Kluyveromyces lactis: one gene and its partners. The main gene of each other region encodes a partner of the protein of the gene in region 3 in a complex. Links are inferred from orthologs where the notes say so. Each region holds a gene or a part of one and is shown on either strand. Other genes may lie near its edges. The genes, in order: LSM8, LSM7 and LSM2.

What was found.
Region 1: the proteins of LSM2 (region 3) and LSM8 are in contact, whole or in part, in a crystal structure (PDB 4M78), measured with the Saccharomyces cerevisiae proteins. The link is inferred for Kluyveromyces lactis from reciprocal best matches to the Saccharomyces cerevisiae genes LSM2 and LSM8. Residues at the interface, in NP_009527.1 of Saccharomyces cerevisiae: Phe4, Lys8, Val11, Leu19, Asn21, Ile23, Ile25, Ser31, Val32, Asp33, Phe35, Lys39, His53, Leu54, Gly55, Ser56, Val57, Arg58, Asn59, Ile60, Phe61, Ile62, Arg63, Thr66; in NP_012556.2 of Saccharomyces cerevisiae: Met1, Ser2, Ala3, Thr4, Leu5, Asp7, Tyr8, Ile16, Val18, Asp19, Gly20, Lys32, Asn33, Thr34, Arg44, Gly58, Ser59, Glu60, Ile61, Ala62, Leu63, Val64, Gly65, Leu66, Ile67.
Region 2: LSM2 (region 3) and LSM7 share a complex: the UniProt entries of both Saccharomyces cerevisiae proteins name them as parts of the spliceosome U4/U6-U5 tri-snRNP complex. The link is inferred for Kluyveromyces lactis from reciprocal best matches to the Saccharomyces cerevisiae genes LSM2 and LSM7.

Annotation. Positions count from the first base shown.
Region 1 is NC_006041.1:1,467,149-1,469,495, forward strand, and holds LSM8 (U4/U6-U5 snRNP complex subunit LSM8), read right to left. Parts: upstream 901-2,347; coding exon 610-900; downstream 1-609. Other genes in the region: methylthioribulose 1-phosphate dehydratase MDE1, read left to right, coding at 1-571; TDA10 (putative ATP-dependent kinase), read right to left, coding at 1,939-2,347. UniProt on the Saccharomyces cerevisiae protein: Component of the nuclear LSM2-LSM8 complex, which is involved in spliceosome assembly. The LSM2-LSM8 complex plays a role in the biogenesis of the spliceosomal U4/U6-U5 tri-snRNP complex by accelerating PRP24-mediated annealing of U4/U6 di-snRNA.
Region 2 is NC_006041.1:2,037,040-2,039,380, reverse strand, and holds LSM7 (Sm-like protein LSM7), read right to left. Parts: upstream 1,101-2,341; coding exon 1,089-1,100; intron 959-1,088; coding exon 638-958; downstream 1-637. Other genes in the region: FUR1 (uracil phosphoribosyltransferase), read right to left, coding at 1-98; ALF1 (Alf1p), read left to right, coding at 1,302-2,054. UniProt on the Saccharomyces cerevisiae protein: Component of LSm protein complexes, which are involved in RNA processing and may function in a chaperone-like manner. Component of the cytoplasmic LSM1-LSM7 complex which is involved in mRNA degradation by activating the decapping step.
Region 3 is NC_006042.1:855,183-856,891, reverse strand, and holds LSM2 (Sm-like protein LSM2), read right to left. Parts: upstream 837-1,709; coding exon 549-836; downstream 1-548. Other genes in the region: KLLA0_F09229g (uncharacterized protein), read left to right, coding at 36-425; GDI1 (Gdi1p), read right to left, coding at 1,241-1,709. UniProt on the Saccharomyces cerevisiae protein: Component of LSm protein complexes, which are involved in RNA processing and may function in a chaperone-like manner. Component of the cytoplasmic LSM1-LSM7 complex which is involved in mRNA degradation by activating the decapping step.

The DNA of each region.
Region 1 (2,347 bases), on a different chromosome or scaffold from region 3:
CGTGAACAAATGGGTGCTCGGTACAGGTGGTGGTATCGGCATTAAACAGGACAACATCGCATACATATCACCAAGTGGCATTGAGAAAGAACTGTTGGAACCTGAACAAATTGTTAAATACAATATACAGGACGATACTTATCAATGTGGTGCGCCTGGATTGAAACCCTCTGCGTGCACACCGTTATTCCTGGAGCTATTCAAGACGCTGGGTGCCTCGTGCGTCATACACACGCACTCTATCAATGCGGTGCTTTGTTCAATGATATATGAGAAGGAGTTTACCATCAAGGACATTGAACAAATCAAGGCGATACCCAAAGGTGACGGTACCAATTTGAGGAACGTTGATACCCTACGTATTCCAATCATCGATAACGCTCCAGAAGAACAGGATCTCATGCCAGCGTTGAAGCAAATGATTAAGGATTATCCAAATGCATGTGCGGTACTGGTGAAAAGACATGGACTCTTCGTTTGGGGCCCCACGCCAAAGAAAGCCAAGATATACATCGAGTCCATCGATTACCTCTTTGAAGTAGCTCTCAAAATGAAAGAACTCGGTCAATGAAAGGGAGACCAGCAGCTGTGTATAACATTATTTATATTTCATCTGTTAGCCCATCGCTCACTCCAAATGTCTATTTCTTCTTTAAACGGTAACTTATTCTTACACGCTGGGAACTTCTGAAGTTTTGCCAGTTCTTTTTCTTCTGGTATATCATCTATCAGCCCACATAATACCACTTCACTACTCCGTATAATGCATATCTTGCTGTCCTTTAAAAGAATCATGTTTCCCGCATGATCAAACCCTTTCATTTCACCATAGTATGTGTCTCCATCGACATTGACCAACATCACCTTCTTGTCCAAATAATCTTTCAATAGAGCACTCATTGTCCATTCACTGTTCTAGCAAACAAGGGGGCAGTTATGTGGATATCTTCGCTCCGATGGATCGTTATCTTTTCTTCGTTACTATTATAATTTGAAAGTAATGTTTTCTATTTGAAGATTCTCTATTATCAATAACAACAACATCTTCAACAAAGAAGAATCACACATCATAACAGAAGTATACAGGCTTCTACAGCAGTTATCTAGAGTTGTGTTGTGGCTAATATTGTTAGAAGCTCCGAATCACGGTTGAAATGGCGGAAGAGAATGAAAGTGAGACCGATTACGGGTCTTCTCCCTTTAAAAAGATTCCAGACGCCGACAAACAGATCTTAGAATGGACTAGTCGTCTAGAGTTGGAGACTGTGCAGTTGCGGGACACGTCTGAGAGTCTATTCAAGATTATCAAGGAGAACGTGGATGAATTGAGCCATTCGCGAAAGTTATTCCAAGCAGAACTTGACAGTAGAAAAGGTATGGTTTCTATGCACAATGAAAGGAATATCTACTTAGTATAAGGGCATTTACTTAGTTCTATCTACGTGGATTGGTCGTTGATTGATACCCTTTAGGAATGATTCTTTGTAAGAGTCACTACGGTCAGTTTTTACTAACTAGGAAAATAACGGATGAGACTCCGAGAAGTCGCCGTTATTTCTGTGTGTATTTAGATGGTAATCAAGAAACGGGAACGGAGATTGTCTCTGAAGTAAAGTCTCGTTTGGATCAATTAAAGGCATCAAGCGGTGAAAGTTTGCAACTTTTAGCGGATAATATTACGAAGCAGATGGATAAACGACATCGAGAATGGATGGACAGATTTACCATGAATGAAAATGTCATGTTCAATGTCGTGCAACAAATGCAAGACCTCACGGATGCCATCCAGACGTTGCATGAAGATATGAGGTTAGCTAGCAAGAGGCAGGCGTTGCTTGAGAAAAGATTGAGACATGAATCTATCGCTACGCCTGAATCTCAACACCTAAATCAAAACCAGACACAACGACTCAGGGTATTAATCCCCTGGGAAGAAGTTCAAGAGTGCGAAATGAAATGATTGACCACATTTCTGTCGGCATCGATGGCAATGGTAAGATTTGTTTTGCCGAACGCGGTGTTCGGGTCAATGAAGTTTTTATAATATAGTTCATAACAAGGCATATATCTATCAACAAACGCCTTCACTTGCGCATCAGTCATTCCTTCGCCCTGAGATGCTAGCATAGCATGCTCTTGTTGTAACCTCCACCTATATACATTGTTGGTGTCGTCAGTTGCGAACTTGATACCGACAGTATCCAATGACTCATTATTCCATAGCAATTGTCCGTACTCTTTCAACGAACGGTTCACTTGTTTCAGATGTAACAACTGGTGGTTCAACAGTATAGGTGACGAATTTTTCCTTTCCAATTCTGTTTCTGTAATGGCTTGGAACCCAAGG
Region 2 (2,341 bases), on a different chromosome or scaffold from region 3:
CTCTTAGTAAGGCTATCTCTGATGATAGTGTACAAGCCAAGCAACTGCTTCGATTGTGCCAATAGATGGACATTAGGAAATGGTTGTGTAGAACTCATATTATTTTCTTTTAGCAGCAGATAAACCTAAGTGAAGTTCGCTTTGATGCGCTAATTGATTGGTCTTCAGTAAAGAGTAAGAATACTACAGAAAATATTATTCAAACAGATTTGCAGCAACAAGCGAAAAGAGAATTTGAAACGTTAAAAGAACAACTCTCACAAGAGATATATACTCACATATATATAAATGAACACCTGGACGCAGTCGGTTTAAAGAATTCAAGATATCTCTCTAATCAGTCGATGCGATGAGATACGGTTTTTTGGTCGAAATTTAACCAAAAAGCTTTGCTGATGTTAGAAAAAAGATTCAATAAGTCACGTGAACGCACATTTGTGCAGATTAGGTCTTGATAAGTGAGATGTAGCCGGTTAGGAAAGTATCTCCGTTGGAGATACTTATTTCATTAGATACAGGTAGAAATGTGGATATGGGCTCATAGTGTGAGTTTGATATAGCACTGAACGTTATATAGCACTATTAATGAACATATATGGTACACTGTTGCTTGAAATTTTTTTTTTTTGGGTCTTAACTAGGTATTGATGATCTCAGCACCTTCGAGGGAACATAGCGAAAGTAGAGCTGTTCCTCTTATGACGACCAAACCAATTTTTTTGGCTTGGTCCTTGTGGATGATGGTTTCATCTTCTGGGTCTCTTGCATATTCGACGGTTTCGTCAAGAACCAAGTTCATTAGCTCGTCATAACCCTTTAGGATTCCAGTGACCAGTCTTCCCCCTATGAACTTGACACGTACTTCTGTGTCCTTATATTGTGCAAGATTTATGATAGACTCACGCTTTGGGCCTTCGAACTTCTTCTTCTGCTCTTGTCTCGGTTGTTGTGATTGCCTCTGCAGAGAAGGGGAATGTATAAACTCTCTAACTGTTAGTAAATTTGAACTTAAAATGTAGAATGGATCATTGTTTTGAGAAAGTTGAAGAAGTTTTAGAAAGCCGTCCTAATTATAGTAGTTAACATACTGCTTCGCTCATTATTAGTAGTTGGTTGGGTGGGGTAGCGCTGTTTGCTCAATGGGTTATTGTCAAAGTGTGTTACTGGTTTCAAATTAACTTTTCATTTAAGTTTACGGAACATTGAAAAATTCGATGTTCAAACATGCCTGGACAAAACGACAAACATTGAACTTACAGCATCGAAGACAAAATAAAACAGAGGATATATCAGCACCGATAATGTCATCTGACGTGGAAATTATATCCGATTTGGTTAACACTCAGATCTTTGTGAAACCTGGTACATCATGGGACCATCTGGGCCAAAGATTGAACGAATTGACCGGTGTTGATGTTCAAGACATGAAATTGGTGATAAATGGCAATGCACAGAACAGCAAGTATTTGAAAGATCTCAAAGACCAGAAAGTAGAGAAAATCCAGTCCATAAAAGTGATAGACACCAACGAAAACAGTTTAGCAAGCCAATTGAAAAATGATTTGCTACATGCTAATAGCGATGACGTTTCGTTCCGATACACCATGGACGATTATGAGAACAGAAGGGATTCTGTATTACAATGGAAAAAAGATAACAAGTTAGGGAAATTTAATCCTGAATACCGCTCTAAGATGGAAGAACAACTACAACTGAATATCGATAAGGCAGAACTATTACAAAAACACGTTGGAGAAAGATGCAGAGTACTGTCCAACGAGGAAACAACGACCGATTCCACCAAGGTCCCCGAAAGAAGAGGATGGTTACGATACGTGGGAAAAGTTCAAGAGATCAGTAATACAGATGTATGGTGTGGAATTGAATTTGACGAACCTGACGGTAAGAACAATGGTACATTCCAAGGAACGAAGTATTTCGGACCAGTAAAAAAGAATTACGGCGGGTTTGTGAGACCTGCCGTTGTTGAAGTAGGTCCTCAATTCACGCCATTAGCTGACGATGAATTGATGCTCACAGATGATGAGTTATAGGGAGTTGATAATTTACATAAGTTTAATTATATTCTCGTCCTTGGCCTCGTGGATGATACTCTGAACTACGGAAATGACACCTGACACACACGTGACAGGGTCTACTACTGAATGAATTCGTAATTGGTTTGAGTCGGGTGTTGTGCCGTAGCTGGTAAAAAGGCCACGTTGCGACTTCGGTTCGAATCTTCCTCAGAACACAAAGTCTCTGTTCATATGAACCTGGTTACAAAAAGATCAAATATGGCAATTCATTTCCTGTTCTCAACTTCATACTAAGCCCTTGA
Region 3 (1,709 bases):
GGTATCGGATAACCCCAGTGACCACAAGCTCTATCATGGCGGATGCAGACAAGATTATTAAACAGTCTGAGGCGCTTGATCAACTAGCCAAACTAGTGTTATCTCAGTCCCAAAAAAAGCAGTCGACTCTCCCGTCTTTAAAAGAGGAATACGAGAACAAACTGAAGAACGTTGATGAGCTCATCTCGATGATTACATCCGTTGAACTGGATAAAGAGAAGTTCTCAAAAATGATTTCGAAACAAATTGAGATTATTCAGAAAGACGGTCAAGAATATGCTCTAATTCCAGTACAAAGAACTCCTAAACAAGCCAAATTTGGAAAACGAAAGTCTAAAGCTAACAACATTAAATGTTCTTATTGCAATGAAACTGGACACCTCCGATCAAAATGTGAGAAGAAACTCTTGGGAGTTCCACCATGATAGGTAATGTGTTCTATTATTACATATGTGAATAGTGTGAGAGTGGTAGACTCGAATGATATTTAACAGTTATAAATTATTCCTTTCTGCAGCAGGAACCCTGTTTTTCGCTGCTTCTTTCGTTTACTTTCTTTCACTCATTAATTCTCTTCTGGTTGCATCTTGAAGTAGGTTGGTATCCACCATAGATTTCTTCAAATGTACATACCTCACAGTAGAACCTCTGATGAACATGTTCCTCACGCTTGATAGATGTGGATATTTTTCATTATTGTTGGACGAAATGTTGTCTAATTTTAAGTTCAAAAATTGGTCGACTGATTTTAGAGTACCTGTTAGTTCAATACCGTTCTTTAGTTCGACTTTGACTTCATGATCAACCAGGGTCTTGAAAAATGAAAATAATAGCATGGTTCTGGACAGTACGGCCTTGGTTCAGAGGTCCATGCATTTGACTTTTGAATGTGTTGTAGTTGTATTGTCAAATTTCAACATGAAATTGTTTTAAACAATTTCATGTTGAAGGAAAAAAAAAAGATACATGTACAAAATTGACATACACAACTTCATATGTAGAAGTAGAGAAGCTGCTGGACTTAAGAGGACTAGCTGGGATATTTTTACGTCGATTGCTGAAATAAAACTATTGCCAAAACATTCAAGCTAATATGTGGGGCTAGATAGTAAATAGACAAAAATAAAATGATAATGATAAAGATTGTAACGAAACAAGAAAGTAACGTAAAAGTACGTAGAAGTACGTGAAGGTACGATATTTTCAAAAGTTAGCATCACGGTTATCTCGTAGTTCTCACTTACTCCTCTGCAACATCTTCTCTCTTCTTTAAAACAAGGGGGTGACCAGTAATCCTAAAGTAGATATCCTTGACATCGTCGGTCATGGATTCGAAGTGAGATGAGGAATCGTAAGATTTAGAGATGTAAATGTTGTCTTTAGTGCCATCTTCGATCGGTTCAAAGATTTCTGAAATACCCATGAACCTCTCCTCAATTGGGCCCAACATTTTGAAAGCCGGCTCTAATTCGATATGAGGTTTATCAGTTTCAATGATGGTTGATACACTGGCGAGGTAATGACCCTTCGAAGTAACTTTATGGGCGTCAGAGACAGTAGCAATATAAATGTCGTTCTTTCTTCCAACTTGTGATTGTGGTATAATTATTTGGCAAGAATCAGCATTACTAGTGTTAGGAACAGGTTGTTTAGTGATGCAAATTGCTCTGATCACCTTTTCACCTGTAGTTTTACATTTCTCAGGGAAG